2 linked regions of the Arabidopsis thaliana genome follow. The protein of the gene in region 2 interacts with the protein of the main gene of each other region in a pairwise test. Each region holds a gene or a part of one and is shown on either strand. Other genes may lie near its edges.

What was found. Proteins that work in one complex are often made in the same cells at the same time.
Region 1: the proteins of BBX21 (region 2) and AT5G47060 interact in a two-hybrid assay, tested with the Arabidopsis thaliana proteins (one study listed by BioGRID).

What each region holds. Positions count from the first base shown.
Region 1 is NC_003076.8:19,114,420-19,120,633, reverse strand, and holds AT5G47060 (hypothetical protein (DUF581)), read right to left. Parts: upstream 3,850-6,214; 5' UTR 3,792-3,849; coding exon 3,439-3,791; intron 3,176-3,438; coding exon 2,995-3,175; 3' UTR 2,417-2,994; intron 2,170-2,416; downstream 1-2,169. Other genes in the region: AT5G47070 (Protein kinase superfamily protein), read left to right, coding at 106-492, 785-1,036, 1,252-1,374, 1,481-1,951. UniProt on the Arabidopsis thaliana protein: May act as an adapter to facilitate the interaction of SnRK1 complex with effector proteins, conferring tissue- and stimulus-type specific differences in the SnRK1 regulation pathway.
Region 2 is NC_003070.9:28,363,715-28,369,733, reverse strand, and holds BBX21 (salt tolerance homolog2), read right to left. Parts: upstream 3,911-6,019; 5' UTR 3,676-3,910; coding exon 3,484-3,675; intron 3,389-3,483; coding exon 2,963-3,388; intron 2,714-2,962; coding exon 2,336-2,713; 3' UTR 1,996-2,335; downstream 1-1,995. Other genes in the region: AT1G75550 (glycine-rich protein), read left to right, coding at 1-244, 940-1,055. UniProt on the Arabidopsis thaliana protein: Transcription activator that acts as a positive regulator of seedling photomorphogenesis. Acts downstream of COP1 and play an important role in early and long-term adjustment of the shade avoidance syndrome (SAS) responses in natural environments.

The DNA of each region.
Region 1 (6,214 bases), on a different chromosome or scaffold from region 2:
CAAATTTTTAGTACATTTTCTGGTTTAACTAAAGTAATTAATTTTTGTGTTTTCCATCAAAATTCCACTGGTTTTCTTTAGAATTTTTTTATCTCTCTTTAAGACATGAACTGTCTGTTCTTGTTCAAATCAAAGAAACCCAGAAAGCAACAGAAAGACAACAACAAGAACAAAAGAAAAGGTAAAGAGTTGTTACAAAACTCAGCTCCAGAACTGACGAATCGGAGTGAAACGTCTTCGTTTAATCTCCAGACACCAAGATCGTTGCCTTCTCCAAGAAGTATCAAAGATTTGTATACAGAGAGAGAACAAAATCTTAGGGTTTTTTCTTACGAAGAACTCAGTAAAGCCACTTATGTGTTTAGCAGAAAGCTTGTGATCGGTGAAGGTGGATTTGGTATTGTTTATAAAGGAAAGATTCTCAGCAATGGAGATTCTTCTGATCCTCCACTTGTCGTTGCCATCAAGAAACTCAATCGACAAGGTTTACAGGTAAAAAGTTAATCTTCTCTCTGCTTTGTTGCTAATATAATCATTAGAAGATAAATTAACCAATTAATTGAAGCTAAGAAGTTGAAATAGAAGATTAGATTGATGCAATTATGAAGCAAAATCAAATTTTGTCACTTGTTTGAAGTAAAGTTGAAGAAATTTCGTAATCTTGATATAAAGATTTAGTGGAATGGTCAAATGGAAAAGTAAGTATGAGTCAATGGATGCATTTATTAAGTCAACTTTGTTGCTTTAGTAATATTCCTTTCTCTGTGTTTGAATGGTGTATTAGGGTCACAAGCAATGGCTAGCAGAGGTTCAGTTTCTTGGAGTAGTGAATCATCCGAACGTTGTGAAGCTCATAGGTTATTGCTCGGAAGACGGCGAGACCGGGATCGAGAGGCTTTTGGTTTATGAGTACATGTCGAATCGAAGTTTAGAAGACCATCTCTTCCCTCGTCGATCACACACATTACCGTGGAAAAAAAGACTCGAGATCATGCTTGGTGCTGCTGAAGGATTGACTTATTTACATGATCTTAAGGTAAAATTTCGAAACCCATTAGAGGAAATCTGGTTTTAGACAGACCCTTTTTATTGTTCTTGATATTTTCGGACAGGCACAATGTTAAACATTAAGTTATATTAAATGTGGTCATAGAGACATGATTAGTAGTTTAGGATCGAGACTTCTGTGAACCGGGGATGTGTGTTTAGTGTTTAGATTGGAAGATAATTTCCTATTTATTTGGTTGACAGGTGATATATAGAGATTTCAAATCCTCTAATGTGCTTTTAGACGATCAATTCTGTCCAAAATTATCGGACTTTGGGCTTGCCAGAGAAGGACCTGATGGCGACAATACTCATGTCACTACCGCAGTAAGTTTGGTTTGATATATAAATGTGCATTTTATAAGCTCACTCGTACTTTAAAGTGATGAATCTGTTACAAAGTTTTAACAGTTCTTCTTCTTTCTATGTATAGAGAGTTGGAACACACGGCTATGCGGCTCCGGAATACGTGCAAACAGGTCATCTTCGGTTAAAGAGCGACGTCTATAGCTTCGGTGTTGTGCTCTACGAGATCATAACCGGACGCAGAACCATTGAGAGGAACAAGCCAGTGGCTGAACGAAGGCTATTGGATTGGGTCAAAGAGTATCCTGCTGATAGTCAACGTTTCAGCATGATCGTTGACCCTCGGTTACGCAACAATTATCCAGCTGCTGGAGCTAGGAGTTTGGCTAAATTGGCTGATCTTTGCCTGAAAAAGAACGATAAAGAGCGACCTACGATGGAAATTGTAGTGGAAAGATTGAAAAAGATTATCGAAGAATCGGATAGTGAAGATTATCCGATGGCTACGACTACGACCAAGGAAAGTAGTCAGGTAAGGAGGAGACAAGTTGCAAAACCTGAGAAACAAAGTTTGAGAGGGGTTAGTGTCAGAGGATGATTTTGAGTTTAGAAGTTTTTTTGCAAGTTTATATATTATAAATAAGTTTATGCAATTTGTTGGTTTATTGTGAGATTAGTAGAGAAAATGTATCTTATTGTGTGTTTTGTAAATAAAATTCAATACGGTGAATGAGAATCATTGAGATCAAGTTTTATGAGAGTGTTTTGATGTTGATAGCGTAACGTTTTAGCCAAAGTTTTCTATGTACGAATGCAAATGCAATGTTGTTGTTTGGAATTTATCATGAAAACTTTATACGTTTTAAGCATTATTACATTCTACAAATCTTATTTTAATATATATATATATATATTTATACTTCAATTTATTTGAGTTTCTGGTCCACTGATAATCAAAAAAGATATCTAATTATTTGTTTCAGAAAATATTGTACTACCGATTTCGTGAAGAAAAAGAAAACTGTACTATCAAAAGCATTTGAAGGAAAAAGATATTTTATACCTTTATTTCCCACTTTTCGCAAGTCACCAAATCTTACCACAAAAAGAATCAATTTCAAACTATTGCTCAATCTTATATCAAATCACAAATACGTCATTTAAACTATATAGCAAGTACTTACCAAAAAAAAAACTATATAGCAAGTTAAAAAAAAATGCTTACTCTTGTTTTCTCGTATAATATTCTCATATTTCAACATATTAAAATTTGATTTAACATCTGTATATCCCTCGAAAGACATTGATACCGAAATCTAAAAACAAAAGAAAAAATATAACTCAAACATGCCATGGACTATTATAATTCACATAGGCATTTACATTTTCTCTTCTCATACTCCCAAAATTTCATGTCAAGAAACTATTTTTTTCTTACAAAAAAAGAAAAGAAAATTAAAGGATCTTTAGCTTCTTCATCTTTTTCCCAAGACTTGAAGCTAAAGTTTTAAAAGATCCTTAAGATCTCGAGAGAAAGAGAGAGGATCCAAAACCAGCTTCATAGCGTTAGATACAATATAGCTTATTTTTTTCTTAACCTAATTAATTATAATAATTCTCAAAGTTCCCAGATATTTTTAATTAAGCAGCAGCAACAGTTCCATTGTGAAAAGCATAATCACGAGATCTAGTTGGTGAAGATTGTTCTTTCCTCCGCATAGCTGATTTCACCGAATGAGACAGATTCTGTTTCTTCTCTTTTGCTTCATCTCTCTCTATCTGTTCTTGTCTACACTCTTCACTGCAAAACGGTGTATCTCCTCTGCAAAAAATTCACAAAATCAAAAACTTCAAATCAGACCCATGAAACAACAAAATTAAAAATATGTTCTGTTCTAGAATTTGTACCAAAAACAGAGGAATTTGAAATCAGACCCATGAATCGTTTAATTGATTAATCAGAAGATTGAAGAAATGGGTATTCGAAAAAAATCAATCCTTTCGTAATAATTTCGACTAAAAATGAGAGAAATTGATAGAAAACAAAAAAAAAACAGATCTGATGTTATAGATCTTAGATGTTACCTGTACATGTAGATGTCTCTGTTATCACCAAGAGGTTTCTTACAGAGGAAACACGAGTCCAAGAAATGAGGTTGTTGAATATCGAATCTGAAATCATGAAATCTTCCAGACACAACAGATCTCGGAGACGAAACAGAGTATTGATTGTAATAATAACTCTGACTGTTCCTAAGACTGTTTAATCTACCGTAAGAGAAACGGCTTGAAGAAACGACACCGTTTTGGGGATTTCCATGGTTATTACTATTATTATTGTTACCAGAAAACCCAGCTTCCATTTCTGATAAAGAAGAAGCCAAATTCTCTTCTTCTTCTTCCTCAATGAAATAAGGCTTTCTCGATGAAAGCTCCATTTTTTTTTTTTCTGGTTTTTAGAGAGAAAGTGAAAGAGAGAGAGGTTTTGTTGTTGATGTGAAGAAAGTGTGAAGTGGGATTTTATAGCAAAAGATCTTTTTTTTTTTTTTGGGGTTTAAGAGAGAGAAAGTAAAAACAAGGGGCGAAACTTTGAGAGAGGAGAATCTATTGGCTTTTATGCTATTTTTGAAAGTACAAGAAATCGAAAACCATTTTTGTTGTTTTCCTTTTGAGAAATATACTTTATTGACACATAGAGGAATAATTGATAGAGAGGCGTTACAAAATGGTCTTTTTCGTGACTTACTCGTCCTTCGGTTTTTGAGGAACTTTCGAGAGAGCTAAGTAAAAAAGTTAAATGTTTTTTTTCGACATTCACTTTTTAGTTCAATTATTAACTTTTAATTTTCTTTTTTACTTAGACAACATTATTAAAGTAAAATTATTAACTGATTGTCAATGCAATAATACATGAAGAAGTTGCAAAGTTTGAAAATTTTCGTATGATTAGGAATTACTGTCAAAATTGTTGCATTTTTAACATTATTTTTAAGATATATAGTCGACAAAAAAATTAAGAAAACAATGTAATTATCGTAAATATTTTTTTATGAAATTGATAACTTGTTACTTTACATAATGTGATACAAAAAAAAATTGTTTAAACACACATGAAATCAATAATTATTTATTTATTAATTTCATCTATTTTGGTTTTAGAAATGAAATGATAGAATTTTACTATCTTAGTTATTAATCTCTTGTACAAAAATTATTTTTCTATTAATCATAAATATATCTTATACTAATCAGATTTTTTTAAGTAGTAGTTGGATGGATCCTACTAACAATTTAAAGACAATAATTTCTACAAGCTAATTTTTTAGAGATCAATAAATATATACAGCTATAATTCTACCAGACATTTTAACCACTGTAACTTACGGTGGTGTTACATTGAACAAGTGATCACATCCGTCTAAAGAGAAGTAAACTTTTTCTGAAGGCATTCAAACAAAAGTTTTAAGGTAACAAAAACAAGAAGGAAGCAACAAAATAGCGGCAAGATTGTAATTAACAGAAGTATAAGGGTCACAAATGAAAGTACATAAAACTACATCAGGGTTCCATAAAACAAGGGTCCCACCAGCACTCGAGAGACGTTAAAGAAAATCATGGGGATTCGGGGGAGAGGTGGGCCCTACGCGCGTGGGGTTTTTGGAATAAGCGTTACACCGTAATCACTACACCACTTCTACTACTTGTGTTGTGTTGTGTCTCTCTTCTTCTTATTATATGGCGACAAAATGGTAAGAATATTGTTTTTTACTTAATTTTTTTATTAAATCAAGAATTACAAAATTGTCGTTTTATTTGGTTATGAATTTTCGTGGTGGTGGGTGACGTTTTTGCGAAGACTTTGAGGGAGGTGCTTTGTGAGGTACAACTACAAATAATAGTGGTGCAATGAGGTCGGTGTTTTTCTAATGTTAGAATAGGTGTGTGACTGACTAGTTGTGATTTCGATATTTATGGTAAGTATAGTTTGAATTTCTAATAATAGTGTGGACCTTGTTGAATAGTGGAATCGAAATAACAAATAAGAATTAGTGGAACTCTTGTTTGTATATATTAATTCAATAAATTATGTGATCTATCAATATATGAGAAACAAAGGAAAAAAAAAGTCATTTTATTGTCTATATAATGCAGCTATTTTGTTAAATAAATTATGAAGTTTAGACTTATTTACAATGACTGCCATTTTAATTATTGATTTTTTTCCAGAAATAATTTGATTAACAAACTAAAAATATTCCAAATATATTCCAATCTCATATGTCACGCACATAGTATTCAGCAACTATTTAAAACAATAAATATTTGACAAACAAAAATATAATTGCAATCCCTTAAAATGAACAAAACACACCTAAATACATTCTTTATCTATCCAATAAATCTTTTTTCTCCAAAATTTGAACTAGATTTTGGCAACTATTTAAAACAAATATTTGTTTGACAAACTAAAATACAATTGCAATCCCATAAAATATTTATTTTAATTATATATTTAAATTAGTGGTGTACGGCGGGTTTTTTTTACGGGACGGATTTGGCGAGACGGGTTTGGCAGGATGTTATTTAATAACAATTGTAAACTATAAAATAAAAATAAATAGATTTAATTTGTAAATTTTTATATATACTAATTTAAAAAATAAATTGTCTCTGCGGTATACCGCGGGTTAAAATCTAGTGGGTGAATTAAATTTATATACTTAGAAGAAGTTGAAATTAAAAAAGTAGAAGAGATAATTTAAAAATTAGGTAAATATGAAAGAGAAAAAAAATATAAACCAAAAGTATCTTTCATATTTGGATTAATTACAAAATTGTCATAGTTACAATATGGTTATTA
Region 2 (6,019 bases):
GGTGGAGGCGGCGGAGGAGGAGGCGGGGGTGGAGGAGGAGGAGGTGGCGGTGGCGGTGGAGGAGGAGGATGGGGATGGGGAGGAGGAGGAGGTGGTGGAGGATGGTACAAATGGGGTTGTGGCGGCGGAGGAAAAGGAAAAGGGAGAGAAGGAAGAGGAGAGTTTGTGAAAAGAGAATATGCAGAGTGCAAAGGAAGAGGAAAATGTTCAGGAAAGAGATTGGAATGTCCTCAACACTGTGGAGGTTTGTGTTTCTACGATTGTCTGTTTCTCTGCAAACCTCATTGCCGTCGCTAGAGAGAGATCTTTTTGTCAATTCATCATACATTCTCTTTTTTCCTGGTTCTGTTTGGTTTTTGTTTTGGTTTCTTTGGTGTGTACCCTTGTTTCTTTTAGGGTTTTCTTTCTAACATATATTTTGGGGTTCTGGAGTGATGCTGAAAAAATAGCCATTATATTTAGGATCCCATCTAGGTTTTTTTTTTTTTTTTTTTTTTTTTTTAATTCTATCATGAACTAAAAGTTCATTAAAGAATTTCCATATGAGATTTTGCTTTTGCCATTTTATCTCCAGTGTAAAAGTTTTTTTTTGTCTGTGATTTCTATATATATAATGAAGATCTTTTGAGAAAAGTCGATTTTGTTACTGTGTTTGAACACAAAACCGGTCTTGATCACATTGACTTGAAATATTTCATATTTCTATGGAACTCCCAAATATATGTAGATTCCACATTTCCATTTGTTAGAAAGATGATTTATATGAAGAGTAAAACTGTAAAAGAGAAAATTAATTAGTTCGTGGAAAAGCAAAGAGGCGAAGCAAAACAATATAGGTCATTGTTAAATTAGCAAATCTAAATAGGTGATTATTACGTTAAGAACTAGACTCATTTGTTTACAAGAGGAATTAATATTTAAGTGATTGTTTTTTTGTAGTAATTTGGTATCTCAAACCAAAGTTCACACTAGTATCCGGAGCTATGCAACAGTCAGTATTGACCAAAAAGAAAATGTGTCAACCCGATATCAGCATGATCTATTCTAGAGCATGACAATGACCAATATTATACTACTACTATCTCTTGATCATTATTTTACTGTATGTCTCCTTGTTGCTTAAAACATTATCTCGATCTTATCCTGATCACTGGATCACATAGGTTAGTGAGTGTACATATGAAAGTGGAAAATACTTTCGAGAAATTATCCAAGTATATGACCATAGAAAATAGTTCGAAAAGGTGAAGAAATAAAAATCTTTCTGGGGAGCATTCATGACTCAAACTTTAATCATTCATCTTTTTCGGCATATGTTTTGGCTGCCGGTCACAGAATCACAGAATCATATGTCTCTTTTAGATAATGCCTTTGAGGCTTTGCTACTTGCCAGCACCTAAAAACACTAAAACCAATGAGGAATACAGTACTACTAAAAACATAAATATCGAGTATCAACCATATGAAAAGCAAATGGTTGATATTTTGAAATCAAAAATAGGCCTCAATTAGTTGGGCCTGCTAAACACAACGAAAGATATATAAATATAACCCAAAAAAAAAAAAAAAGATATATAAATATAACTCTTATTTTCTTACTTGTTTTTGTACCATTTTAGTTTGGTAACTTTAACAAGTAAACGACTAGTCGGTACTTTAATTAATTTAAATATGTTTTGCCTGCCATGATGAGGTGTCCATACTCCTTAGTCATCAGAGATCTATGCAGGCATATTCAATCAGAAAACAAAAAATATGCCGATGGGCGATGGTGATGGGCACGTTATTGTGAATTTGTCTCCATTATATGCTCTTTTTCTTATCGTTTATTTCCTAAGATATATTATTTATATACAAACCAAATCCAAGAACAATCCTTTCCCCATATGGGCTATGGGGACTGAAGAGGCAGAAGATGAAAAAGAAAAGACTGTCCTCATATACTAAAATATACGCACCACTAGATTTCATTCATCGAATTTGTAACTTTACTTTAAAGTTTGACTTTCTTTTCCTTGAGAAAACAAAAATAATGTAGATGATAATTGAAAATAAACTAATTTTTCTCTGAAATCTTGTTTCCACGACAAAAAGAAAGTTTACAAATTAAACAACGAGTCATAGGATTTTGTACATGAAACATGTGCATTAATGGAAAGAGATTATATGATTATTACAAAGATTAAAACAGCAAAACCGCAATCACACTCAAATTTACAAAATGACAGAACACAAAAAAAGAGAGAGCCTAATTCTATTGAGATCAAAGTTGGGAGAAATGAAGGAGAAACAAACAAACAAAAAAAAAACTCCCCCATTTAGGGAGATAGTAAAATTACCAGAAAGATCTAAACTTTTTATTAGAAGAAAGAGGAGGAGGAGTGATCTGTGGGACAGTGAAGCCACCATCATCATACCATCTCTTGTTGTTCTGTCCTTGTTGTTTCATGTTTTGTATTGGAGCAAAAGACACTACTTCTGGTGATGTTTCTTTGTTGTACATCCCAAACTGTATGTTGTTGTCTTGAGAAAAGTATTGATTTGGGTATGAAGAAGGAAGAGTTTGTGGAATCTGAGGGACCCAAATCCCTAAATTCTTAGATGGAAGTGACACTGTATTGTTGTTGTTGTTGTTGTTGTTGTTGTTGTTTCTCTTAGTGTTGTTGTCATCTTCTGGTTCCATATATGGTAACACTCCATCATCATCACCACTCTGCAATCACACAAAAGATAACCAACAACTCTTTTTCAGAAATTTTACACAAATACCCAATATAGTAAAAAGATCTATCCACATCTATAAAGTTTGTTACCTTTATAATACATTAATACCTCATTAGATCTAAAATGATATGATATTACGTAAACAGAGGAAAAAAAAATTCAATCTACTAAGGGTCATTGTCAAATCTTGAAATCAACTAAACTTGGATCTTTCTTGATTAAAGAGATAAGAACAAACCTTAGAGAAACCATAAGTAGGAAGAGAGGAATCGAGGAAATCCTCAACGTGCCAACCAGGTAACGTATCCATCAAATACTCAGAAATCGTGCTTGTGGATCCCCACTGATTCACCGACGCATCACCGCCGTTGATCTTCGAAAAGGGTTGGATCTTGTTGCTCTGAGGAGGAGCTGAGAGAGGTTTCTTGAGAGGAGGAGGATTAGAGATTGATGATCCAGGGACAGAGAAATCTTGGTTGCTTGAAGAAGAAGAAGAAGATTTCGAAGTAGGTTTGTAAACAGACGATGTTGCAGAGAGCTTAACCCCTGTAAGAAGAAACCTATCGTGTTTCTTTGTGTGTTCGTTCGCAGCGTGGATCGATGAATCGCAATCTTTGCATAAAATAGCTCTATCTTGTTGACAGAACAACAGAGCTTTTTTATCCTAGAGTTCAATAAAAAGAAAAAGTTTCAGATTCTTGATCGGCAAAAACGATTGAATTAAGACAACAAAACTCATGTCCGAAGTTAGAAAGAGACCTGACAGATGTCGCAGAGAGGAGAGGAGGTGTTGGAAGAAGAAGGATAAAGGAGAGAGAAACGGAGATGTTTAGAGGCGAGTTTGTTAGCGTGGTGGACTTGGTGGTCGCAGCCGCCGCAGAGAGATGCTTCGTCGGCCGTGCAAAACACCGACGCTTCTTCTTTATCGCAGACGTCGCACCTGATCTTCATCGATCGATTAAGAGAGAGATAGAGATGGTGGTAGTTGAAAATGATAGGAGAGAAGATGTGAGATCTTCTTATGGAGTAGTAATGTAAGAGGGTACTTATGTAATATCAGCTCCTCTTTTTTCCTTCTTTCTTGTTTCTCAAATCATATCTTTTTTTTTTTGTTTAATTATATCTCTCTTTTTCTTTTCTTTTTTATTCCTAGAAAATTATTTCTTGTTTTATATGAGATGTCCATGAAGTAAAAAAAATAATTAATTATTACTTTGTTGGATTAATAAAACACAGCGATATAATGAGAGCTTGACTGATGAGAAGTAATTATGCCCATGATAGTTCGGTAGTTCCTCAATGTAAACTAATTATATTTTCCAGCAAAAAAAAATAAGAATGATATATTCAAATAAATTTATTGGCATTCCATTCGATTGTTTGATAGCATTCAAAAAAACAAAATAAATAGAACTTAAATAGTAGCAATGAAAAATTTTCTGTTTAATTCTCCTAACTTGGAAACAAAAAATTGAAGTAGACAATGTTTTCATAATGAAACTAAAAATGATGGAAAACTCACTTATATACCATCGAATGTAAACAACATTAACTCTTTAAAACTTCACTTTTCGATTGACTAATTTAACTTAAGAAATGTGAACAATCAGACAGGTTTAAACTTGTATTTTTACTAGTATCATACCTATACGTACGCTTATGTCAAAACATTTACATCAGAATTAAGATGATCGATATAACACAACCTTGCTTTTAGCCGATTGATCTCATGTTTATTCAAATTTCCATCTATATTATACTTCATGGCATGCAGTCACGCACGCCAACTCCAAAATAGAGGATCGGATAAGATTATATTTGAATATATCATCTTGTTATATTTTATTGTGTTATCTTTGTTTAGAAGATTATATAGTGGAAGCCCGAAGAATTTTGCACTGGACGTGGATGGTGTGAAGGCTGAAGCGCGGGTATCGAACCAAGTGGGACTAGTGGGAGTCTTTCCTTCTACATCAATAATTAAACAGATAATGTCTCAGTGGTTTCCTTTTATGACAAATTAGAATTACATTTCTCTAGTCATTTTATTTTTATTTTGCTTTTATTTCTATCTTGAATTCTGAAAGATTGTTCAGTCAAAATAAATAAATAATTAGATGCCCAATAATGCTTATTAATTTCAGTTATAATTTTATCAGTTCAAATATATATAAATGGAATGAAAATCAAATGTCATTTAGTTCGGCTTGATTCTTAATACTTTTTTTTGGTTTTTATACAGATTTGTTAGCTACGTATATTTTCTAGTCTTAAAACAGGGGAAAACCTAGCTAGCAAATGGAGACAAAACTAGATTTTTCTTTTTAGTATGATAAAACCTTACATGGTTTCTTAAAAGTAAAAAGATATTAATTGGTTCGTATAGATATATAAAATATTAAGGAATAAGGATAAGTTTCAAAATCTAGAACCACTATCAAGTAACAACCAAAGATTATAAAGTTTACTTTTTCAGGAGTGAAATCTAGTAGAACTGTATCTTGTAAATTACTACATTATATCCCTGAAAAAGCATTATATATATTAAAGAATAAAAGATTCTCCAATTAACTAAAGGCGTATGCTTAAAGAAACTTTGAACCCATATTGGAATATGATAATGATTTGAAAGTTGTAATTCTCTTTTAAGAATCCATGTATATGCCCCCTAAATATCTATAATAGGAGTCCCCATAGTCCATAGAAATACCCTTTTAGTCGTGGAAGCTCGATCCAATGTTGCATTGTTGCAGTGGTTAATCAAGAATTTATAAATGTTTCTATGGTATGAAAATGATTGAAAATACTCAGATTGAAAATGATCTTTGTAATCATATATCTCCCGCAGTTCTAATGTTACTAAATGTTATATCAGTCAAGTTAATGTAGATTTTTATTTTTCAAAACAATAATAAAGAAACATGTGCCAATCAGTAATTAACATGTTTGATACAAAGATATTTCAAATCGAGATTCAGTGCAGCAGTGTGGAGTTTTTTAGACAGTTCTTTAAACTTAAATTCGATATTAATATTTGAGCGCATAATACAGCATCCATGTGAACAGCGTCTAACGCAAGATTACTTTAGTAGAATAGTTATAACTTTTGATGTGAGCTAGGGAGCAGACGGGTCCCACTTCATAGTCTCATCTCATGTACTACATTTTATCAAGTGGATAATCATGGCGAAAAACATTTTAATATGAACGGCAAATTTGTTTTGATATTATTTCTGGTAGGCTGGATTATGTTCTTAATTCATTATTTTCTGTTTTGAACATTGAAACTAAATTT